5 linked regions of the Cricetulus griseus genome follow. The protein of the gene in region 5 interacts with the protein of the main gene of each other region in a biochemical or structural test. Links are inferred from orthologs where the notes say so. Each region holds a gene or a part of one and is shown on either strand. Other genes may lie near its edges.

Region 1 (4,991 bases), on a different chromosome or scaffold from region 5:
GTTGCTACAGCTGCTTGTCATTACCAATGCTGAGCTATACCTGACGATACAGTAGGCACACCCACACTGTTAACCTCATCCTGAAAGAGAGTAAGCTGAGAAGCACAGGAGCTTGGGGAAACAACCCAGAAAGATGACCCTAGCTTCCTTCACCCACGCTTCCATCTCTTCTGTTACCCAAGACAACCAGTGTGATGATTTTCAGTCTCAGCAAGCTGCCCTATCCTTGGCAACACTAGGAAAACTACCATTGTTCATAACCTATATGGAGTGTCCTAATATTTTGACAACTGGGTAAAACAGTACTATCAATATACATTGGCTCTACAGTGACTCAGACATGCTGGTCAATTTGGTTTCCTTTATTTCATGCAGATTCCCCCAACCTCCTCTAGCATGCCATGAGCTTGGCAACCCCAGGCAGCAACTTTCACACTCAGGAAAACAAGTCCATCCGTCATCAGTAACCCGAGGCAGGGCCTGCCCGGGCATTCCTGCAGCCACACCCCACGCTGCAGCGTGCAGGGGAGGCGGGTGCTCCAGGCTGGGGCGGGCGCTGGGGCACTCCTGGAATGTGATTTTCAACAGAACAAGTGGTGAGAGGCAGGCACGAGAGTGTGCAGGAGTGCGCCAGCCATCTGCTGTTCAGGCCTGCCTTCGGGGAGGAGGGCAGAGTTTTCCAGGTGGTCAGAATGCAAAAACAAGAGGCCCAAGCCCAACAGTCCCTCCCCTTCCCCAGTGAGACTTACTTTTAAGCAGAAACTGAAGTATCTGAAGGAAATAGTTTCCCTTCAAGAATGCCCTTGAAGCCTTGCAATGGCCAGGTTTATATAAATACAGAGTAGACATTCATATTTATATAATTATGTGTCCTGTTTACCCACCTAGATGTGAGCGACATCATTCGGATACCAATATACTTCTTCTTGGTGACAGCTTTCCCTGGTGTGACAACAAAGGGACAAAAGGTCAGCCCAGATGGTGGGAGTATTGGGACACGGGAGCCAGAGTTCCAATGTTCCAGTTTGTAGCATGAGCCAGAGGGGGGCACCCAAAGACTGTGATTCAGTCCTGGCCTGGGTTCCCATCTCTCACTTCAGAAACTATCAAAAACTCAGGCATGACTCTTTCTTCCTAACCCCTATGGGTATCTGGACTGAGACCCCCTTTGTTCAGTCTCCCACCACTACCACCCTGGTAAAATGTATTGGCTCTGGACCCTTGAGAGGACTGGCCTTAGGGACTGTCATCTTCCCCTTTCCCAAGTCCCCAGGGGCCAGCTAGGCCTCAGGACTGAACCTGCAAAGGTCCCCAGGATACCTGGACCTGGTTACCTTTGGCCTGTCGGTCATGGGACTCTGTCAGGAATTTCTTTATCTTGTCCGATGGAATTGCAAAGGAGATGCCTGCTGTCACCTTCAGTGTGTTAATTCCAATCACCTCGCCATCCTGAAAAGCAAGCATGGCTCACTAAACAACCCAGGAGGCAGGCACAGGCTGGAAGGGAGCAGAGAATCCATGACAGAAAGTCTTTCAAAGGCGTTGCCAGCTATGGCGCCTCACACCCGTAATCCCAGCACTCAAGAGCAGCTGAGATAGGATCTCTGTGAGATCCTGGCCCGCCTGGGCTCTGGTTTGGGACCTAGTTTCCAAAACCAAGAGTGAGAGGAGGATGCTATCTTCACTGGTCATCGCATACTCTACCCCACAGATGCGTACAATTAAAACAATTAATAAAAAGGAAAAAAAAAAAGAAGCGTGGGCTGAGAAGATGACAAGGTGGTTAAAGTGCTTACCATGCAAATGAGAGGACTGGGAGTTGGGATTCCCCAGAACCCATGTATATGCTGGGTGTGTGTGGTGGCTTGCCAGTAATTCCAGCCTCAGAGGCAGAGGCGGAATCCCAAGGGAAAGCTGACTAGTGTGACTGGCTGTAGTACCTAGCTGTGGGTTCAACTGAGAGACCCCACCTCACTGAGTAAAAGGAAAAGTGAATGAGAAAGATCCTTCATCAACCCTGAGCTTCAGGCACAAACACACATGTGCACAGGCAACACGTCCCCATCCACCCACACTTGTGGCCATACATGCAAATGCTCATATATATAGACACATAGCAGGGAGAGTATTTTGGCTATGTGTGAAAATCAGGAGGGTTAGAAGGAGGAGGCCTGGGGATAGTGAGGGGAGAGACAGTAGGGTACTGTGTAGTACCAGACACAGTTGGATTTGGAAGGATAGACACAAGATCTAAGTAGGAGCTTAATCTTTGTGTCGTTGCATGAACAGATGATCTCAAAATCCACAACACTTGCTCTTTTCACAGGAAGAATGCTTCCATAATCTCTGAGTTGCTCTCCTTTTCCAATGGTAGATACCGAGTTGAGCCTGGACCCCAGGATCTACTCCCAACAGCTGCCCCAGGGTAAGTATGGTGGGGACAAGTAAGGATATGGCTCTTCCCTGAGAAGTTTCTGGTGGAAAAAAAAAAAAAAAAAAAAAAAAAAAGACCCTAGGAACGTTCAGCACACAGTGCTCCTAGTGTACTTTGCACATATCAGTTCCTGACACCAAGGGACCCAGCAGGAGGTATCGTTGGGTGGCCTTGATTTTATACTCTCTTAAACAACTCCCAAGCTCTGGCATTCTGTCGCCTTCAATTTTATGCTGAGGTATTAAAGACTAGGTTAAGTGAGAGCTCTGTGAGCAAACAGATGTCTCCCCGTCATGCCCACAGGCATTCAGGGAGGGTTCTGGCATGGAGGCAAGCCAGGCCAGCTCATCCCCACTCAGCCGTCCTCGAGGCTGCAGGCACCTTTTCCACAGATGGCAGCACTGCAGGGACCTTCAGTCCCCTTTCTGCCTAGAACTTCATGGCATCCACCTGTGGCCTGAAACACAAGTGTGTCCTCTGGCCTTACTGCTTCCTGAAAGGGCTGCTGGGGTGAGGTGCGAAGATGCAGTACACTCACACAGTAGAAAGTTAATTATGTCATGTGCTCTGACAAGCTCATGTCCAAAGAGAAAGCAAAGGAAGTAGCATGCCCACAGATGAAACAAACACAGCATAGGTACTGAAAGGCCTTACCAGGTTTACTAAGGGGCCTCCAGAGTTTCCATACTGAAACAAAACCAAGAGGAAAAGGTCAGATCTGTTTCACGTCACCATCTAACCAATGTCCCTGCCCAAAACATTTCAAAGCACTGTGCTGAAGCAGCTGGCAGCGCTCTTCCCAAGATTTGTCTCTGCTCACCTAATTTCGGCTTAGAAGAAGGATCTTTACCATTTTCAAAAAGCCTGGGATATGCCATAGTGGGATCATTTACCTCCAGGCCCACTGTGAGCACCTAATCTGCTTTGACTTCCTCAATGAGACTGGCTACCCACTTGCTTCAGGACCACATAGTTCAACTCTGTTTTAACCCCAAGTGGGACACCACCATCACCACCACCACCCATACACAACCGGGTAGGACTATACTCCATGTGGTTTATTCTAGTTCCAAGAATTCATGCAGAATACAAGAAAGTTTGGGAATACTAGCTAGCTTCCTCTGGTAAAAACTTGCCGCCACCCCAGCAGGTAGAGGGAGTGAAGGACTCACATTGATGATGGCATCTGTCTGAATATAGTCCATATCAGAGTTTCGGAGCCCCAGCTCTTTGCCACCTCGTTGAGTAGTGCTGACAATCCCGGTGGTGACCGTATTTTGAAGAGAAAAAGGGCTTCCGATGGCTACCACAAACTCTCCCGGCCGCAGCTCTGAGGAACGACCAAGCAGCAGGACTGGCAGCTTTCCCTGCAAGCACAAAGACAGTCATTGCTGCATTGCTGCTTAGCAAACTGGATAATGCAAATACAGAGGGCAAATACAGTCCTGGCCCCTAGGGGCTGAGCTTGGTGCTAAACTAGGTACCAAGCCCCTACTGTAATCCACACTCCACAGGCAATTGGGGAGTCAACGAAACAAGACACTCACAGCAAGGGAAATGAGAAGAAGTGATAGATCATTTCTGGGTCTCACATCTTGAAGCTATCCATGCAGCTGGACAGAGGACAAAGGGAGACAACCTAAGCTTAAGATGGGCTTAGAGATCAAAGTCCTAGATAGGGATTCTGAGCACCAGTCATCTGCGGCACAGGCTGAGGTCAGGCTGCCAAACTGAAATTCTGCCTGAGCTTACAAGCATGAACTCCTCATCTGAGAAGTGGGAATAAGACAGTCCACCAGTCTCACTGGTATCTTGTGAGAACCCAATGATAGGAGCCTGACCAGCTCTCTGGAAACAGCCCGCTTGGCCGCTGTATCAGCTGAGCATCAGCTATTTACCAGTATTCAAGTCCCTGAAAATTGAATGAAGGGTTCCAGCAACTGTGCTGAGACAAGCTAGTGTATGTCACCTTTCCAGACACAGTTCCACCCTGTCTTTGACCCTTTCACTTTAAGGTCACCTGAGGTCAGAGCCTATGGCATTCCCTAAACAGACCCACTCAGCATCCAATGGCACGTAGCAAGATCAGCGCGACGTGTTTACCCTGGGTGGGCGCCAACAGTCCCTGCCAGCAAGCTCTGCCAAGAATGACCTCAGCAATCACGGCAGGGTGAGGCAGAGTCTGGCTGCTGATGTGTGCTCGGCCACACTGAAGGAGGCCCACCAGGACAGCACCATTCCTTTGGGGCCCAGGTCTGGCTGAAAGTTCTGTCTTGCCGGCTTCAGGGATAACTGGGAAGGGCAGGCAAGAAGGGTGGCCGGGAATCTGGACTTCGAGGAGGCAGAGCTACACAGATAGAGTCAAGCTTAACTTGGGACAGTGGGCCCAGCTACACAGTGGGGACTACACCAGGTATGGGGTAAGATCCACTGTGAGAATCAGTCAGCATTTGGCTGGTGCCATGCCCCAGCCACTGCCTCTGCCAGATGCAGGACCCTTAGACAGCAGGGACCTAATGACAATTCTGTTTAGCACTTCTGTTCCAAAGTCTGAGCT
Region 2 (4,419 bases), on a different chromosome or scaffold from region 5:
AGGCACATTCAACTGAGGTGATAACTGTCTTCAGGGAAAGGATTCTCAGGGGAAAGGTCTCAATAGCACACTAAATAAGGATCTGACAAGTGGGAACAAAGCCCCAACCCAGCTAATTCAGAAATGTGCTCAGGGCTAATGATATCAAGGCTGTTTAGCACTGTAACAAGCACCATCCACATTTGTGCTACAAGTATTTGACAGAAACTGGCTGGTCTCCCAGAATAAAAGTATAACACATGACCCCATACAGGATTTCCTTTTGTAAGGACACAGGTAATGGGACTAGAGAGATGGACCAAGAGTATTTGCAGAGAACCATAGTTAAATTCCCAGCACCTATGTTGGGCAGCTCACAACTTCTAATACCCCCAGCTCCAGGGAATCCTATTTTTCTGGCCTCTAAGGGTACCTACATGCAGGCACACACACATACAGGAGTATCTACTGAACAGTTTGGTCTCTGCCATTTTCTAGTAATCGAATGTGCTCTACCCTCAAGAACTGGCCTGAGTTAAATCCAATGTAGCCTACCAACACATGTGACATTTCCTGCTACAATTTTAAATTACAAATACTGTAAAAGCCCTGTGATATGTCCCAGCTAATACTGAAAAGGGACATAGTATCCCTTTTATTTAAAGAAAGGGGTTTTATGTAGCTCAGGCTGGGCTTCTGTGTTGCTGGAGACAAGACAAACCCAGGTCTTTATACATGTTAGACAAGCACTCTGCAATGAAGCTACATCTCTATCCCAGTCTGCTAGAACACTGTATGCTTTGTGGTGTTCTGCTGCTTAAAAAGAGCTTCTAGATCCTCAAAGGGCTATATAGATTTTCACATAAACAGGTTTCATTTATTTTGAGACAGTCTCACTGTGCAACCCCTGGCTCACCTGGAACTTACTATATAGAACTGGCCTAGAACTCACAAAAATCCACCTGCCTCTGCCTTCCAACTGCTGGGATTAAGGTAAGTGCCACCACATCCAAGTCATAAATGGGTTACTTTATATATACTTTATATATGTAATCCTGGCTAGCCTGAACTCACAAAGATCTGCCTACCTCTGCTTCTTAAGTGCTGGGATTAAAGGTGTGTGCCACCACACCTGACATATGAAGTATATTTTTAAACAAAGTGGACCATGAGATGGCCCAACTTGGGCAAAGGCCCTTGCTGTGCAAGTCTGGCAACTTGAGTTCAGTCCCTGGAATCCACATAAAGGTAGAAGGAAGGAGAGAAGTGACTCCACAAAATTGTCCTTGACCTCCACACAAGCTCTTTTTTACCCTTCCTGTTGAGGATCAAACCCAGGCTCCTATACATGCCAGACAAGCTATTTACCACTAAGCCACACCTCAGCCCAGACGACTACAGTCTTAGTGTTATCCATCACAACTCAGGATAATGATCATTCCTGAAAGAAAGAAGGACTCTGCCTTTATTCACAGTGTAAGTACTCCCAAGTGCCTAGTTTCTTCTTTCTGCATTTTCAACATCAATGTCAGTCATTAGGGGCTGTTACAGAATATAAGATAATGAGGTACAAAATAAATAGGCCATTCCTGGCTTGTTCACATGTTGAGAGGAATGCATAGGATATACCCTAGGCAACAAGGGTATAACAAGTAGTTGGGACCACAATCACCCTAGAAGCACCTGTCCACCGTACTACCCACCTTCCTCCTACCAGTTCTCAGTCTGATACGGAGCTCCAGGGCCCAGTAGGGATTCCCAGCTTTCCAACATTTTGTATTTTCTTGGGACTCAGGCTCGCCTAACTGACCACCAGGTCCCATAGCTATCCCTGGGCTGCTGGTCAGGTGTGATGGGAACATACATCATGGCACAGGGGACAATCTAAAAATAGGGAGCAGGCTACTACCTTGGCACCCATAAAGAAGTGGCTAAAAAAGGCATATAGGAAAATAGCATGAGCCTGGAATATTCTGCTGAGCAGCAAACCAATAATCACAGGTCATGATGTACAACAGGTGATTGTATGCATGTCCAATCACATGTACAGGACTAGCAGACAAGTATCCTGACCCACAAGGTGCTCATACTGCTCACAAACATGGAGAAAGACAGTACTTATAGAAGTTCTGATACCAACAGGATGAAGGAAATAAAATACCAGACCAAGTCCAGTGCTAACTGCTACTGCATCTACCAACAGGCAGTTGGAACAAGTGTGTGGAAAACAGGACTCTGAATGGTCCCTAGACATTCATCATTCTCATAAGGTAGTGGAAGCTGGAACACAGCTCCTAGTCTGAGGAAACCCAAGGCCAGGAAGGAGGTTTTGGGTTTTTTTTGGTTTTTTTTGTTTTGTTTTGTTTTGTTTTGTTTTTTTGGTTTTTGAGACAGGGTTTCTCTGTGTAATAGCCCTGGCTGTCCTGGAACTAGTCCTGTAGACCAGGCTGGCCTCTGCCTCCCTAGTGCTGGGACTAAAGGTGTGCCCTACTATGCCTGGCCCAACACAGGAGTCCTTAATGGCACTTACCTGCAGACAATATAGCGGATAACATTGGCGTGGCATATGAAGATCTCATAGCTGTCTTCCTCCTGCTTGGCATCAGCTCGGTGGATGTAGTTCCTGAAGGCAGCCTCAATCCGGGCTCCATCTTCATAATACTGCTAGGAGCAGAGCAAGGAGTTGTCAGTGTGGACACAGACAAGGCTAAAGGCAGGCCTTGCCCTATTCCAGTGGCACAAGGAATGACATTTTTACCACAGCCTCTGGCTTCCAGTGAGAGACAGGTGGATCTGGTTCAATAGGGGCACCTTCCCGTAGCAGGTCTGTGCTGACTCTGCAGACACCTGGAAAAGGGGAGACCCCTATTCAGCAATGTATCCCCAAGACTAAATCTATACCCTCAGCATGGCAGACAACCAGTACTCACCTGGCAGGTGTTTACTAATAATGTCTGTGGTCTCTACAGCACGGGTCATGGAGGAATGGACAATTTTATTAAACTTTAATCCCAGGCTTGCTAGTCGGAGCCCTGTAAGTTCAGCCTGTTCCCGACCTTGAAGGAAAAATAACTGTGAAAGTCATATACCAGGACCCTCCACTTACTGAACAAACAGTGAAATGCCATCAAGCACCACTGATGATGATGTCCTCAAAGGCTTAGCCAGGGTCAGATCCTCAGGGAGCAAAGAAACAATCAGTTGTCCTCAACCCCAAGGAGAAACGCACCTGATTCAATTAGCAACAGTGCGTTAACTTACCAGCAGTGGAATGTGAACCCTTTGCTATTCCTCCTACTTTTACTCAACTATGTTCAAAATCAAGTTCCAGTTGGGAACATAATATAGGAGGCTGAGGCAGGAAGATTGCCATGAGTTCAAGGCCTGTCTCAAAACAAACTACAAACTGACTCTTAGTATTAAATATAGATGCTTTTTGTCAAATGTACTTTAGCATATGGCTGGAAACACTCCAAGAAATCACTTTTGTCTTGTTCTGAAAATCATTTTCTATACTGAATATGGGAACCTCCATCACCACATTGATGACCTGATTTTCTGCTTATGCCCAGGTGTCAAAAGCAACAAAGTAACTCCTCAGGTTGGTGGCATAATCTGCTAGAGAACACACCTGGAGACATATTACCATCCAACTTTTGAATATGTGTACAAATGGGAAATACATCATCCAAACAAGAAATTATTTAAAATGTAAATGCACACTACCATGTATTCATGTTCCCGCCTACTTGGGAAGAAAAACAGGGGGTCAGGGATCTAGACTAGCCTAAACTACATTGTTGAGACTGTCTCTCTCACCACCATGCTGAAATGGGGAAAGAAAGGGAGAAGGACTACATCCCAAGTTCAGCTGATACTTCAAGATCATTCAAGCAATCATACCTAATGGGGTCAGGGTGCGGTCCTTTTCCAGGGAGCCATCCACATGGTACTGGGAATGCCGGATGAGGAATATGTGTCTTGTAGCCTTTGCCTTATAGTGGTCCAGCCTGGATGCCAGTTCTTCTTCTCCAGATTCCACATTCCTCTTCTTCAGGTTAATGAGAGACAGTGGCTCTCGCCTAATTGTGAAAGCATGTCTTATAACCTCTTGTTCAAGACACCTTGATTCAGTACTTGGGGAAAGCCAAGCCCAGGGAGGCTGTGAAGCCTAAGGTTCATGTTCTTGGCGAAGACAGGGCTAGGAAGGTGGCACAGGGGTTAAAGTGCTTGTTAAAGTATAAGCAGGAAGACTGGAGTTCAGAAGCCACATAAACACTGGGTAGGCAAGGTGGCCCACCTATAATTCCAGCCTCAGAGAGTAGAGACAGGATCCCCAAAAGAGGCTGACTAGTGAGACTAATTGTGTTCGAAAGTCCAAGCTATGACTGAGAGACCATGTCTTAAAGGATAATCTAGAAGCACAATCAAGAAAACATC
Region 3 (4,991 bases), on a different chromosome or scaffold from region 5:
ACTTGTCAGATGGGAAAGTCGAGGCCCAGAGAGGGAATGTGACTTGCAACAGGTCCAGCTGAGCCCAGTTGTGTGCATCTCCCAGTCCTGTGCTCACTTTAAAGCCAACGAAGCACTCAGAAGTAGTGCTAACCAGCATGGTGTCAGAGACTGGGACCTGGAGGTCTCAGTATAGGCTCCTGCCCACCCGCATGCCTCAGGCCTGTGGTCCTGGCAGGCCACAGTTCCTATGCTGATGGTGGCAGGAATCTGAGCCAGTGATTAAGGTTTGGGGGACATTTGTGAGCTGTCTGGCAAGTAGCCCTGGGCTATGGCCAAGTCAGACAAAGGCGGGTGCTCTGTCCACCCAGGAATCTATAGCCCAGCCAATGAGGAAGGGCCTCACAGAGGCCAGATGGGGGTGGCTCAGAAGAGGAGGCCTCAGGGACTTTCACTCTGCCCTTATCTATCAGTGCACTGGTCCTCAGGCAGGGAAAGGCAGATGGTCCACTCTCCAACATATTTCTGTTACATGGGAGCAAACAAGGATCCAGGGATTCTGGTCCCCAGCATCAGTCCTGTGCTTCCTGGAGCAAAGATCCAAACCTCTCTACAACTCCTGCTCAACCCTGAAGAGCCCAGAGGGGAAAATGTGCAGAGGCTCAACTCCCAGAAGTTCTAGTTAACCATTCTCCAGGGCAGGGACCACTATCTCAAATGTCTGGGTGTCCGTGTACTTCTGGGGAATGGGGTGCAGAGCATGTTGACACTGTCTTTGAGTCCAGGCAGGGGTCTCCAGCAGGGCCTCTTCCACCTTGGGCTTAGGGGCTTCTGGGAGCCAGGAGGTCTCATTGACACCCTTGGTCCTTGCCGCCAGCGCAGGTCTCCACCAGTTGACCAGCCCTCGGTACAAGTTCAACTTCATCGCTGATGTGGTGGAGAAGATCGCGCCAGCTGTGGTCCATATAGAGCTCTTCCTGAGGTACGTGGGGTCCCAAGTTGCTCTGCAGCTTCCCAGCCATTCCCATCTGTCCTGCTCCGGCTGTCACTCAGACTAGACCTGATTCCAGCAGCCAGAGGCATAGCACAGGTGGTGTGGGATGAGTAGCAACTATGGAAATCTGGAGGCTGAAGGTTAGCCTAAAATGAGAACATAGGAGTCAAGGAGATATAGAGGAATAGGGGACAGTCCCACTGAGGTGCCAGCTCAACAGGACAAAGTGTCTGAATCAGGCATGAGGGAGGACTCATGACTAGATGTGGAGGAGAGGGAGGACTGATTGAGTGGAGGTGGGTTGATAGGGAAGCAGGTTTGTCCATGGGAGAGGAAGCCCACTGTATAATGTATGGTCTAGCATCCTGGCAGGATCCCTCTTTACAGACAGGGAAAGAGCCTCCTCCTTCCTCCCACACCCAGTATTCTATCCCAGAGATGTTTGTGCTGGGTGAGGAGGCCCTGCCTTCCAGACACACCAGCCAAGGTCCCATCACTCACATCCGGTCCTGAGGTCTCAATTTAGACCCCCTAGAGAGAGGCCGGTTGTGTCAGGAGCCTCAAGATTCTAGACACAACAATCTCCACCCTTCTCGCCCTGCAGCTGAGTGGAGAGAGCCAGCTGGGATGGGGGAGCCAGACAGGAGCCCACCTGATAGGGATCAGGGAAGCTGGTGACCGGCTTATTAGTCTGACTCTGGTCTGGAGCCGCCTGGTTACTGATGTCAATCACCATCCCCTCCCTCTATGCTCCATGGCCAGCGAAGTGTCAGGCTACTCAACCTCCTGCCCACTAACAGTGGCAAGAGCCTCGCAGTGGCAAGGTGTGCATGGTGGTGGTGAGATATGGCAGGGGAGGAGGATGAGGCGGACTCATCCAGGGTCTAGCCTGAGCTCTGGACCTAGTCCATTTTGAGTCTGTTTCCTTAAGCTACCCTGGGGCTCCTGCTCTTCGACAAGAGAGGCAGATGTGGACTCAGCCCCAATGGGACTGTGGGACCCTTCTGCTTGCCATGTCCCTCCTGTGATTAACAACTTATAGACCTATGCTTCTCAAGGCCTTTCCACACACACACACACACACACACACACACACCATTCCACCTGGAGCGGGGTTTGACTCCAGCCTGTCTGACCCTGGAACAGAAGCATCCTCCTGCCATGTGTGATTTTTCCCTGCCCTTGCCTTTGGCCCTGGGGTAAAATCTGAGACACATCATTGAGGAAATTACAAATGGATGCCCTAGGAGGCTGTCTCAACCAAAGGGGGCTAAGGAGGGACTGTGTATTTCCAGAGGGCCTGGGGCACTAACCCTGAGCTGGTTAATCACAGGTTAAGGCAGCTGAGCAGCAGTGATGTCTGACTCGTGAAGCCAAAGCCTCATGGGTGGGTAAGGTCCAAGTCGGGCAGACAGCACAGAGCCTTCCAGTCACGACCCTTGACCTGAGGGTATGGGTGCAGGGCTCTCTTGGGCCCTGTCTGCAGCCTTGAGTGGCTGGATGTAGCTGCCCTCCAGGGCTTCTCAGAGAGACGTGACTGGTAAGGAAACAGACACTGCAGGAAGCTAAGCAGCCTGGCATGGTGGGAATCTTGCTGTGCTCTGCCTCTTGCCTGACCCCAGCAAGTATGGGAGGGGAGGAGGATACCACATCTCTGGGCCTCACTCTCCCCTGAGAGTTTTGTATAGCAGTGGTTATCTAGGGCTAAGTTACAGAGTCCCACAGACTGGAGGATTAAACCCCATTCTGGAGGTTGAGGGCCATGATGAAATTATCTGCAGGACATCGCACCTGGATCCTGGGCCAGCTCTTAACTTTTAGTACTTCCAGGCACCCTTGGGTTGGAGTACATCCTCCCCACCCATCTCCCATGTCCCCCTTGTCCTCTTCTGGGTTCCTGTCTTCTCAAGGTACTGATGCTTGGACATAGGGCCCGTACTCCATCAAAATGTCACAGTCCTGCCACACTCACAGAGACCCACTTCCAAATAAGGTCACACCCATGGAGCTGTAGTCAGGACTTGATCACATTTGTTTGGAGGACACTGACCCACAAGTCTCCTGTGAACTTTGAATGAACTTGTCCCTGGCTCCAGCGAGCACTTAGGATGTTTGTTGCTTTCCATGGTCTTGCCAGGCTGAGGTGACATTTTGAAAAGACTGTCACATGCTCAAGAGTGCTAGATAGACACTTGGGCTCATCTGCTTAGTGTCCTCAGGGCCTGTGTACATTTTGTGTTACCCTGAGGAGGATCCTAAGCTGCTCCAGCCTTCTGCCCCCTCCCATCCTTAAGCAGATGGCCCATTTCTCAGATGAAAGACAAGCTCAGAGAGCTTACAGAGCCTGCCTGAGGGCAGCTAGGTCACAGGTGGGACTAGCAGTTAGTGTCCTGGCTGTTTGTCTCCAGGGCCCTGCTGTCAGGCATTGGCGCCACTGTGGGATAGTGCATGCTAACATGTCAACAAGTACTGTGTCTCACTACAGCAAACTGCAGATCAGAGATGATGGTCATATCTTTATGGCCATGAACTAGGTCCAGCTGCAGTGTTGCCAAGGCTATACCCACAAGTGACAGCCTCAGTTCAAACCCAGGTGGTGGAGGGAGTGGTCCCCCACGCCTGTTCCTTCAACACATAGGGCTCTACTCCCTCCACTATGCTGACTCCCCCAGGCCCAGGCCTGGCCCTGAGTGTCCCCTGTGCTTTCTTTGCAGACATCCTCTGTTTGGCCGGAATGTGCCATTGTCCAGTGGTTCCGGCTTCATCATGTCAGAGGCTGGTTTGATTATCACCAACGCCCACGTGGTCACCAGCTCCAACACCGCCTCAGGCCGGCAGCAGCTGAAGGTGCAACTACAGAATGGAGATGCCTATGAGGCAACCATCCAGGACATTGATAAGAAGTCTGACATCGCCACTATTGTAATCCACCCCAAGGTGAATGGGATGGGGCGCCTCGGCCTGTCCCAGAAGTGCCCTCCCCAGATCGCACAGCTTTAATAGCTCAGCCTTCCCAGAGGATAGCAGCGATCTGAGGCCCAGGGCCACTGGTCACATCAGACCTAGAGCTCGGAATTGCCCTTGCCCAAGGTGCCAACACCAGGAGCAAGCAGGACACAAGAGGGAGGGGTTCAGCCTCCCATGCCTTCCCACCTCTTTATTGTCCTAGCCAGGCCCACATCTGGGGTTCCCTGTCCCTGCAGACTAACAGACCAGGGAAGTCAGTATCCACCTTCCACATCTGTTCCCATACTTACTCTGGCTATCACAAGACCCTTTATGGTCCCCGGAAGCTCAGGTGGTGTTCTTTCTGTTTGTGGCATAGCCCCTGGAGGGAGAACCCTCATCACCTAGACTGTTACAGGGAGAAATGGAGCCTTGGGAAGATTAGAATTCTCATCATTTGGAATCTGAGGGGAAACTGGGGCCCAGAGAGGTTAGACCTCAGACCTAGGACCACAGCTAACAGTGGCAGGCCCAGCGGGCCAGGCCTAGATACAAGTCATTCTCAAACTGGATTTATTGCAACCATTGTACCACTGCATGGCTCTGGGATGGTTATGGGAGTCTTCTGTGTCCCCTGCATCCACCATCAAACAGGTCACTGTGCTTTTAGTCAGGGACAGGCACATAATTTCCTTTACTTGTCTGTGTGCCTAGCCCATCCTGGATGCAGGTTCTCAGTGTACATGGTGACAGATGTTTGCAGAGTTCACTACCTAGATGGAGGATCCATAATGGACTACCCTGATACAGACCCTCTGTAGTCCTGAACCCTGTCATGAGCTGAATCTGGGTGCACCCCTTCCTCCTGATGACATAAAAACTGAGAGTGGGTGGGACACACAGGAGGGCTGAAGTGGCAGGAACTCTTCACACTGTGAAAGCCCACTTCTCTGTGACCAGCATGCAGCTCTACTGTGCTTAGAGTATACAGGCTAGGAGGGGCTGCATGCTCAACCCTGTGCAGCTGCAGGAAGCTATAGGGCAGCACAGGATGCCACAGCCCTTCCACGGT
Region 4 (4,336 bases), on a different chromosome or scaffold from region 5:
AAACAAAAAAAAGGAGTTTGTTAGTAATATGCCCAAGTAATAGGGCAAACAGTTTATAATTAATATAAGCCTCTGTGTGTTTATTTGGGTCTGAAAGGCTACAGGACCAGGCGAGACAGCAACGTCTGTCTACATGTGGTGCCCATCATGGGCTGGTGATGGGGCATGTCCTTCCGTATGCTGTGAATATATGTTACTCTTACTGGTTGATGAATAAAGCTGTTTTGATCAATGGACAGGCAGGATGTAGCCAGGCAAGAAATCCAGACAGGGATGGAGAAATGTAGTAGTCAGAGTCAGGGAAATGCCATGTAGCTGCCGAGGAAGTAAGTGCCCCGGGCATCACCCGTAAGCCAAGACCATGTGGAAATACACAGATGAAAAGAAATGGATTAATAATTTAGAGAGAGGCAGTCAATAAAAGGCCTGAGCCATTGGCAAACAGTTTATAATTAATATAAGCCTCTGTGTGTTTATTTGGGACAGAAGCACCTGTCTATAAGGCAGTTTGATAAATCAGTGGATAAGGATGCACCCTGTTACACAGACCCAGATGGCCTCCCAGCAACCACGTTGGGCAGCTTCCTACATCAGCAGCTACAAGGGATCCGGCACCCTCTTCTGGCCACTGTGGGCAATTGCACTCATGTGCACATACCTCACCCCCACACACAATTAAAAATAAATACTCTGTTGGGCATGGTGGTTTATGCCTCTAAACCTAGCACTGGGAATACAGAGGCAGGTGGATTTCTGTGAGTCCAAGGCCAGCCTGGTCTACATAGTAAGTTCCCAGACAGTCAGGTCTGCATAGTGAGAACAGCACAGGTGTGCTTTACCATATAGAGCTTCAGTCCTTCCAATGTTGGCAGAGCTCACAGGTGAAGCCTTCAGGTCCAGGCCTTTCCCTTTTCAGGAGAAGTACCTTGTGCTATAGTGTTTCTCCGCCGTTGTGACATTGGGTGTCTGTTTTTGCCCCCTACAGAGCAGAAAGACCATGGCTTTGAGGTGGCCTGCACTTCCTCTCGAGGCAGGGACTTAGACAGTGACTCTGAGCCAGATGCTGTCCCATACCAGGAAGGCCCAAGGCCCTTTGACCAGCTGGATGCCGTGTCAAGTTTGCCCACCCCCAGCGACATCCTTGTATCCTATTCCACCTTCCCAGGTGAGCCCATCTGTGCACTCGCCCTTAGCCCTGGAGGCAGCTATGTCCTGAGGTCTTGTTTCTGCTGGACACAGCCTGTGGGGTCCTTGGCAAGTCACTTCACCTCTCCTAAGCCCCTTCTCAGGGTGAAGCAGGCAATGCTTCAGACTGGCATGTAGATTAAGAATAATAATTCCCGTTGGGGTTAACCTGCAGATTCGACAAGGGAGCGGCTGGCACTTCCCTCAGCACTGTGATGGGCACCTGGTGGCAGGGCAGGGATAAGGTGCATCCTTCAATCTGCTTGAGACCCCTGACTTCTCAGAACCTCGATTTCCATACTGAGAAGATGGGAGCCCCAGGCAGTCAGTGGTGTTGAGGGTGAAAAGTAGCAGGGAGCCACAGGGATGGGGCCGCCTTTGCCACCTGTCCACAAACCACAGTCTGGATCTGGCTGTACCCAGCTTCTTCTGCCAAGGAGAGTGCCACTCCACTGTGTGGCAGAGTTCATCCTGTCTTCCTGCAGGTTTTGTCTCCTGGAGAGACAAGAAGAGCGGCTCCTGGTACATAGAGACCTTGGATGGTGTCCTGGAGCAGTGGGCTCACTCTGAAGACCTGCAGTCCCTCCTTCTCAGGGTGAGTACTTCTTTCTGAGGGCTGGAGGGGCCTGGTGAGCAGGGCAGCAGGCTCTAGTCTGCTGTAAATGCTGATGGGCCCTGGCTGAGAGTCAGGGAGCACGTTGTCTCTCAAATGAGGAATGTCACCATGGCGATGACGTTTGTCCTGTTTGCAAAGTGCCATCTTTTCCCGACTCTTTAGAGACAGATGAGCAGACAGGCATCTGGTTCCCAGAAGACAAAGTGGTCTTAAGTGCCAGGTGGGGTGGCTCAGTGGCAAGAGCATGGTACCCTGAAGCCTGGCCATATGCTTCTCGCTTAGCTCTGTGGCACATCCCCACGTGCTCTCTTTTTAGATTGTTCCAGGTAGCCCAGGCTGGCCTAGAACTTGCCATGCAAAGAGCAATGAACTTGAACTTTTGGTCCTCCTGCCTCTACTTCCTGAGTGCTGGGATTACAGGTGTTAACCACCACACCCAATTTATGCAGTGCTGGGGGTGAAACCCAGGGTGTCACGTATGCTAGATAAGTAATCTCCCAACTGAGCTACATCCCCAGCCCCATGCTATGACTCTTTATCTTCAAGCATTGTGATTCTGTCTAGATTGTTCCCTTCCTGGAGGCCCCAATGAGAATGAACAGGGAAGGGGCGTGGCAGTGCCTTGCTTCATAGCAGCCAGCCACCTCAGGGCACTTGGTTGTACCCATAAGGTGTATACCAGGCTTTTTCTTTTGGCCATCAACCAGCTGTCAAATCATGGAGACTTCTTTTTTTTTTTTTAAAGAAATTTTTTAAATTAAAAAAATTTTTTTTGAAACTTTATTTAATATGCATTGGTGTAAGGATACCAGGTCCCCTAGAACTGGAGTTACAGACAGGTGTGAGCTGCCATGTGGGAGCTTGGAATAGAACCCGGGTCCTCTGGAAGAGCAGCCATTGCTCTTAACCACTGAGCCATCTCTCCAGCCCCCGAGACTTCTTATTAGTTATGAATGCTTGGCTACACTTAGGCTGGTTTTTGTCTAGATCTTTTCCCTTAAATTGACCTGCTTCTCTTTATTTACTTCTTGTCTTTGGGGTTGTCCTTTCCTTTCCTTCTGTATACTTTCACTGCCCTCCTGTGTGGCTGGCAGATGCCTGGCTTCTTGCCTCCAGTGAGACCTCATCTTTCTCCCTCTTTCCTCCAGTTTTTGCTCCTCCCCCTATTTATTCTCTGCCCACCAGGCCTGCCTATCCCTCTCCTTCCTAGCTATTGGCTGTTCAGCTTTTTATTAGACCAATCAGGTGCTGTAGGCAGGCAAGGTGAAACAAATGTGAAACTCATCTTTCATGAGTAAACACACATCCTTACATCATTAACCAGTGCAACATAAACAAAAGTAACACCGATGCACAGTTCAGGTAAACAAAGGCAGCACATCTCTGCCCCCTGAAAAGATTGCTCCACAACAATTAGGGCCCGGTGGGTTTCCACTGCTCTGCCCAGTGCAACCCCTGGGCTCTAGGAGTCACTTCCGGTCCTGCGTGGGGCCCTACAGGACAGAGGACAGCTGAGCAGCTCATGTTGTCTCTGGGTCTCCTCTTCCCCACTTCCTTACCCCTAGCGTTTCTGTCTGATTGGAATTGTGAATTTTTATATTAGAGAAGTTGGATTTTCCATTCTTTCCCAGTAGCTGAGGTGTTTGTTCTATAACCCACCCCAGGAGACTGTAGGTAGGGTCACCTTCAGATGGCCCCTTCAGTGGCCCGCCCCCTCAGTTAAGGCCTCAGACAAGGACACTGAACTCACAGATTGCCCCTGTGATTCTGTTTTGCAGGTCGCCCATGCAGTTTCTGAGAAAGGGATTTATAAACAGATTCCTGGCTGTTTTAACTTCCTCCGGAAAAAGCTGTTTTTTAAAACTTAATGAGACTGGGGCTGCTCCTTGCCTGAATGTTCCCCTAAACCTTCATGGCCTGGAGGTGACTGAGACTGGACTGTCCTGCAAAGCCAGGGTTTTGGAACCGTGGCAGGCCGCTCTCTTCCCTTCTTTGGCAGACAAGCTCCTAACAGCTCCCAGGTTGGTGAGAGAGGCAGAGCATTGGAGGGAGAGGGACAGAGTGCTGTCATTGTCACTGTGTCTCTTCAGCTGAGGTTAGGGACTGTGGCCTGTGACCCCCAGGTCCTCTCTAGAGCAGGACTTCTCTGAGTCTGCCCTACTGACATGTGGGGTTGTATAGTCCTGTCATGGGACTGTCTTGTGTATCAAAGGGTGTTGCCACGAGCACCCTTCCTGAGTTTTACCACCCAGAAATGTCTTCAGACATTGTCACATTTGCCCTAGGAGACATAACACTGGAGGAGCACTGTCCACAGGGGTCTGTGGATCATATATCCCAGCATTCTTTCCCAGACCCGCATCCAGCTGACCCAGTGTGGACACCTGGCTCTGTGAGTCTGGTCCAAGTTTCTTCCCTTAGCACAGAATTTGTTCTTAAAAAAGTGAATCTTAGGCCAAGGGACTTTGTTTTGCCTGTGTCATCCCCACTCCTGTTCCCTGTTCTTCCCTACAAAGGAGACTTTTTTGTTTTTTC
Region 5 (5,667 bases):
TTTTCCACCCTATCAATATCAATTTTCAAGCAAGAGTTACTAAATTAGCCAATTTTGGTGGTATATGCCTGTAATCCCAGCACTTGGGAGGCTGAATAGGAAGGCTACATGAAAACCAGGCTAGCCTGGACTACATAGACAGAACCTGTCCCCCAAAAGAAAGGAAAACTAGCCAAAAAAGTCATTAGACAGGTATGGGGGTAAATATCTGAAATATATGCACTTAGGGGGTTAAGCCAAGAATATCAGAAGTTTAGAACCACCATTGGCTACATAGTGAATTCTTGCTAGAGCCAGCTCCAAGAGTCCCTGTCTCAAAGAAGAAACAAACAAAAAGGCAGGCATGATACCACACCTCTATAATACTCAAGACGCAGAAGCTGGAATATTGCCACAAGTTTTAGGTCCAGCCTGGTCTACATAGGAAGTTATGGCCAGTTTAGGCTACATATAACAAGACTATAATAAACACAAGAAAATCCAAAACTGCTAACAGGCAAAAAAAAAAAAAGCTATTAAATTAGTATTTTCACACTGATCTTTTTTTTGGGGGGGGAGGGAATTGAGATAGGGTTTCTCTGTGTAGCCCTGACGATCCATAGACCAGGCTGGCCTCAAACTCAGAGATCCACCTTCTTCTGCCTCCTGAGTGCTGGGATTAAAGGCATTTGCCACCACCGCCCGGCCATTTAAAACAATCTTATTTTACATACCAATCCCAGTTCCCTCTCATTGCCCCAACCATCTCCCCATCCCTCGCCCAATCCACTCCTCCAGAGGGCGAGGCCTCACTTGAGGCAGGACCAAGGCCCTCCCCTTCTGTATCTAGGCTGACAAAGGTTCTTTCCATAGGAAATGGGTTCTTTTTTAAACCAATACGGAACACTTGGGTTGCTTAAGGAAGAGTCTTTTCAAATGGTTCTTCTAAAATTTTAAGTTGTATTATTTTATATATTAGAAACTCATACAACTTATATAGCTGAGTACTTTATTTTACAGAGACAAGAGAGTTTCACGATGGAGGCCAGCCTGGAAGACATTGTGAACTCCAGGCCAACCGAGTTAATGTGAGAAACTGTTTCAAACTAAAAGCAAACAAAACACAAATAATAATATACATTATGCCAGCTCTTCAGGACTTCCCATGGTACCATGGGCTCAGGTCACTCGCCAAAGAGTCTACTTCTGAATAAAAAGGATATATTTTTGTATAGTATACTAAATAAAAAGTACACATTTTTGTAATTTGGTGTTTATAAATGGAACCCTCATATAATATATGAACAGTGAATGTTTTGGTTACCAGAAGTCTTAGGTGGGTTTTTTTTTTTTTGGCCTACGAAGTAGGTGACCCCATTTCTATAAACTTGGTGTGAATTACAAGCCATAGTGAAGGCAAAAATAGTTGAGGTGAAAAGTAATTCAAATCTTTCTCCTGCACAATGTCCAACTTGCCTATTCCTGAATGAACAATTAAGAATCTTACCCTGGGTACCACTTCGCATGCTGTTCCCAAGGGTCTTCACTTGGCTTCCAATCTGTGAGCCCTCCTCCACAGTGAAAGCACTTCACCTTATCACCTTCACCTAAGGAAACATGCACGTAAAACTATGTGTATCTGTGCATCAAAAAATGCCCATTCTAACATTTAAGAGGTGTCTAAGTTACATACAATCTCATGGCTTAAAGGAAAACATTCATATTCCATCTAGATACGATCTTTATCATTTGACAGGAAATACACACTAAATTTACCATCCCGATATGGGGTGCTTTGTAGAAGACAACAAAAGTAAAATCAAAGATTTTATGTTAAAAACTACAATTGTTACATTCTTTCTAGTGCATGTCATTTGGGTCATTACTATCACACTTACTTCATCAAACTGAAATCTGTACAAGTTATATTCCAAATGTTAACTATAATAAAATTCAGCAGATACTACAAAGTAAGTGTCTTTAAGGATAGAGCTCTCTGACATGAAAAAGACCTTCAAGATTACTATGTTATATAAATGAAAAAAATTTGAAATAATTTGTATTTTGAATTTAGCACTATTCAATCTTAAAATAAGTGGACCAGGCATGCAGATATAAAATATTCCTAGAAGCAACCATATTACTGGCTTTTAAGTCACATACTGTGACTGTTTCAAAAATACTCTGATGCAATAAGGCATAATACAGGGCAGCTTTCAAATATGTAGCGTATGTTAAAGATGTTACTTTTTCTTTGGTTCTTTTCGAGGGTATCATGACGTAGCCCAAACTGCCCTCAAACTCATTCCTACCTCAGCCTATGGACTGCTGCAATTACAGGTATGTGGCACCATGCTTAGCTTGATGTCAGTTTACCATGAACCAACCTAAATTCTCTGTTAACTCTGTTTATAGGGTTGTGGTGAAGCTTACAGACAATCCATGTAATAAGTATGCTGAGCATACAGAGTAGATGCTCGTTAAATGGCAGCTATTATTACTATTAGACCCATTATTTATCAGGAATCAATACCATCTTTTTTCTTCTCTCAACTCAACCCTCAAACAACTGTATGAATACAGATCTGACTCATAATAGCATGGCCTTTTAAGCATAAATTCAGTAATGACAATGAAGATTTAACATATGAGTTCAGAGAATGATACTAATGATAAGCAATCCTGAAAACTTATGCCTAAATATTTATTAGTTCAGAAGACTAAAGGCAATGATTTTCTTTTTAGGAGCCCTATGACAGATGGAAAGTAATTTACTGGTTAAGTTTACCTAAAGCATAAAATCCAGCTCTTGCAAGCTGCTCCTTGTTAACTGAGTATATCCATGTTCCAAAAGTAATGATCCGTGCTTCATATTCTGCCATGGCTGGATTTCTTGGAGAATTTGCCGAATTGGGGAAATTCCTATCAGAACTCACACCAGATTCACTCCGAACATTAACATTCCGGCCCAAAACAAAGAAGCAATTGGGAAAGTGTCTCCTGTGTTCTGACCAGGCACGATCACAGGGTTCCCAATTTTTCAGTTTCCCACCACAGCAAAAGCACTGCACTTGATCATCAATCCCTGTGTAGTACAGTCCAGCACTGGCCAACTCTCTGGGGGTTAAGTGGGCATAGTCTGGCCAGTTCTGAAAGGACTTCAGCCTGGCTTCTTCACTACACATGGCAGGGTTCCTCGGGTATATGGTATCTGAAATATCTACAACCTGTCCAGTTCTCAAAAGATAATCTGCATGAGTCTCAGATGGCCTGTCAAGAGCAAAATGATTTCTGTTTCCCACATAGTTTTCAGCTTTGTACTGGCCATTTTGGATACCAGGATTTGTAGCCTGTGTGGCACTGTTTTCAAAATAAAAACCATTGATAAATCTGCAATTTGGGGATATTTGCCTGTGTCTTCCAACAGCTGAGTCTCCGTACTGCCATCTATCCACTGCCGCGTGACAACTAAAGCACTGCACAGTATCTCCTTCACCAGTATAAAGAAACCCTGCTCGTGCCAAGGTTGATGCTGAAACAGGACTACTACTTGGAAAGTTAGCAAATGTTTTTAATCTATTAAACTCTTCTACAAATTCTTCATCCTTATTGGTGTCTGCAGGTACACAAGTTCTAGATCCTTCAAAACTGTTAAAAGTCATCTTCTCTTGAAAATAGGACTTGTCCACCTTTTCTAAAAAGAGAACATTGCATTAGGAAATCCAAAACACATAACAAAAGTAACATATTTCTGATACTAAGCACTAACAAATTATCCACTGATAACATAAAAACAGTGGTACAATCACTAAGACACATTTAATTCTAAACACTAGAGCCTTACATTACTACTTGAGTTTTAAAATCTGGTGCTTTTGTTTTTTTTCTCTTTCAGTGTTAAGGCTTCACACAATGCCAGACACATGCTCCAACACAGAACTATAAACCAGCCTGTTTCTCTTATTTATTGTAGTCCTGGATATCCACCTCAGGGTCTTTGGCATTTTCGGCAAGTGCCGAAAATGAGCCTCAATCTCAGTCCCACTTTCTCTTTTGATGGAAAACAATATGTAAACAAACAGCAGAATTACGAATCTTAAGTACTCATTTTATAGAAATATGGAAAGTATGACACAGAAAAATTATAAATATTAAACACATGAAGCCTTTAATTAGGAAAAACATGAATGCAGCATAAAACATGCAGATTATTAAAGACTATGCATAATAGTTATAATGAATCATTTCATATTCAAGGCATCAAAGTTCAATTTTTACTACTTAAAAATGAATGTTTAGAATGCTCATGGATTAATTTTAAATATATTTTTACTTTCTTGCTTAGCAAAAAAAAAAAGTGGTCTGGTGGAGGCCATGCCCAAGGGTATATAGGAAGCACAAATTAAACTTGCTGCATTTAAACAAAAGGACAAAGTCAGGTGGTAGATCTGGGAGGAGTTGGGGAGGTAGGTGACTGTGATCAAAATGCCATGCATAAAATTCTCAAAGAACTAATAAAAATATTAAACAAAATATTATAATGACTTAAACATTCTAAAAGTCACAGATATTAATTGAAGTTACTTTTGCCATCAACTTCTGTTGGTCAAGAAATAGCCTGTTTAAATGGAAGAGAATTTAACACTCATTACAGTTGCCAAATTACAACGATGTCATGTTTAGGCCAAATAACATACCAAGAGGAATCAGCTGCATTATGGGAAGAGTGGCAAGACAGTTTGTCCTCCAACATGGTAAAGTGCTAAATGATGCTACTAATAATTGCATAAGGATAACAGGCATGAATCATGGTCACCATAGGCAAAGCAGATAGAAGAACATGTGGTCACCCTAGCTACAAGACAAGCTGGTTCTCCAGAATCTTCCACATTGCCATTCTGTCCTCAGTATGTTTGTGAAATGCAAAATAAACAAATGGCTAAAACTCAAATAACAGCAAAAATGAAAGATTCTGATGTAGCAATGAATACATATCCAGATATTTCTCAAAGGGGGATGTATAATCGGCCAACTACCACATTAAACACCAGAATACAAATAAAAGCCACAATGAAGTATCACCTCACACCTATCAGGATAGCTATTATTTGAAAGACAAAAACCAACAAATGCTGCTGAGGATATGAAAAAAGGACCTACAAACAGGAATGTAAACTAGCACTGCCATTATGGAACACAAAATGGAAGCTCTTCTTGGTTTTGTGTAGATGTGTGTGCTTGGTATGCATGCATGTGCATGGATATCTTTCTCTATCATTCTCTACTTTGTTGTGGCAGAATCTTTCAGCTGAACTACGAGCTGGCTGATCCAGCCAGCTTCTGCCTCCACAATACACTGGGCCATCTTTCCAGCCCCTAAATTGAGCCTCTTCAAAAACTAGACAAGAGCTGAGTTTGGAGAGGTGGTTCAGCAGTTAAGAGCACTTACTGCTCTTCCAGAGGTCCCGAGTTCGGTTCCCAGCATCGATATCCACATCAGACTGCTTACATCACCTGTAACTTCAGCTTCTGGGGATCTAATGCCTCTGGTCTCCTTGGGCACCTACACTCACATGCACACAATCATAGGTCTACACACACACACACACACACACACACACACACACACACACACACACACACACACACAAATAAGTTTCAAAACCAATTAGACAATGATGGAGATGT

Evidence for each region. The genes of interacting proteins can lie anywhere in the genome.
Region 1: the proteins of Xiap (region 5) and Htra1 form a complex in vitro, tested with the Homo sapiens proteins (2 studies listed by BioGRID and IntAct, with this or other methods). The link is inferred for Cricetulus griseus from reciprocal best matches to the Homo sapiens genes XIAP and HTRA1.
Region 2: the proteins of Xiap (region 5) and Pgam5 form a complex in vitro, tested with the Homo sapiens proteins (2 studies listed by BioGRID, with this or other methods). The link is inferred for Cricetulus griseus from reciprocal best matches to the Homo sapiens genes XIAP and PGAM5.
Region 3: of the proteins of Xiap (region 5) and Htra3, one has a biochemical effect on the other in vitro, tested with the Homo sapiens proteins (3 studies listed by BioGRID and IntAct, with this or other methods). The link is inferred for Cricetulus griseus from reciprocal best matches to the Homo sapiens genes XIAP and HTRA3.
Region 4: the proteins of Xiap (region 5) and caspase-9-like form a complex in vitro, tested with the Homo sapiens proteins (12 studies listed by BioGRID and IntAct, with this or other methods). The link is inferred for Cricetulus griseus from reciprocal best matches to the Homo sapiens genes XIAP and CASP9.

Annotation. Positions count from the first base shown.
Region 1 is NC_048596.1:69,845,249-69,850,239, forward strand, and holds part of Htra1 (serine protease HTRA1), read right to left. Parts: intron 3,802-4,991; coding exon 3,607-3,801; intron 3,122-3,606; coding exon 3,089-3,121; intron 1,450-3,088; coding exon 1,335-1,449; intron 943-1,334; coding exon 885-942; intron 1-884. UniProt on the Homo sapiens protein: Serine protease with a variety of targets, including extracellular matrix proteins such as fibronectin. HTRA1-generated fibronectin fragments further induce synovial cells to up-regulate MMP1 and MMP3 production.
Region 2 is NC_048597.1:90,059,338-90,063,756, forward strand, and holds part of Pgam5 (serine/threonine-protein phosphatase PGAM5, mitochondrial), read right to left. Parts: intron 4,062-4,419; coding exon 3,883-4,061; intron 3,036-3,882; coding exon 2,910-3,035; intron 2,827-2,909; coding exon 2,738-2,826; intron 2,644-2,737; coding exon 2,510-2,643; intron 1-2,509. UniProt on the Homo sapiens protein: Mitochondrial serine/threonine phosphatase that dephosphorylates various substrates and thus plays a role in different biological processes including cellular senescence or mitophagy. Modulates cellular senescence by regulating mitochondrial dynamics.
Region 3 is NW_023276807.1:104,691,437-104,696,427, reverse strand, and holds part of Htra3 (serine protease HTRA3), read left to right. Parts: intron 1-861; coding exon 862-961; intron 962-3,687; coding exon 3,688-3,910; intron 3,911-4,991. UniProt on the Homo sapiens protein: Serine protease that cleaves beta-casein/CSN2 as well as several extracellular matrix (ECM) proteoglycans such as decorin/DCN, biglycan/BGN and fibronectin/FN1.
Region 4 is NC_048595.1:11,416,191-11,420,526, reverse strand, and holds part of caspase-9-like, read left to right. Parts: intron 1-985; coding exon 986-1,165; intron 1,166-1,670; coding exon 1,671-1,780; intron 1,781-3,579; coding exon 3,580-3,669; 3' UTR 3,670-4,336. UniProt on the Homo sapiens protein: Involved in the activation cascade of caspases responsible for apoptosis execution. Binding of caspase-9 to Apaf-1 leads to activation of the protease which then cleaves and activates effector caspases caspase-3 (CASP3) or caspase-7 (CASP7).
Region 5 is NC_048604.1:25,909,769-25,915,435, forward strand, and holds the start of Xiap (baculoviral IAP repeat-containing protein 4), read right to left. Parts: upstream 3,670-5,667; 5' UTR 3,642-3,669; coding exon 2,768-3,641; intron 1,587-2,767; coding exon 1,487-1,586; intron 1-1,486.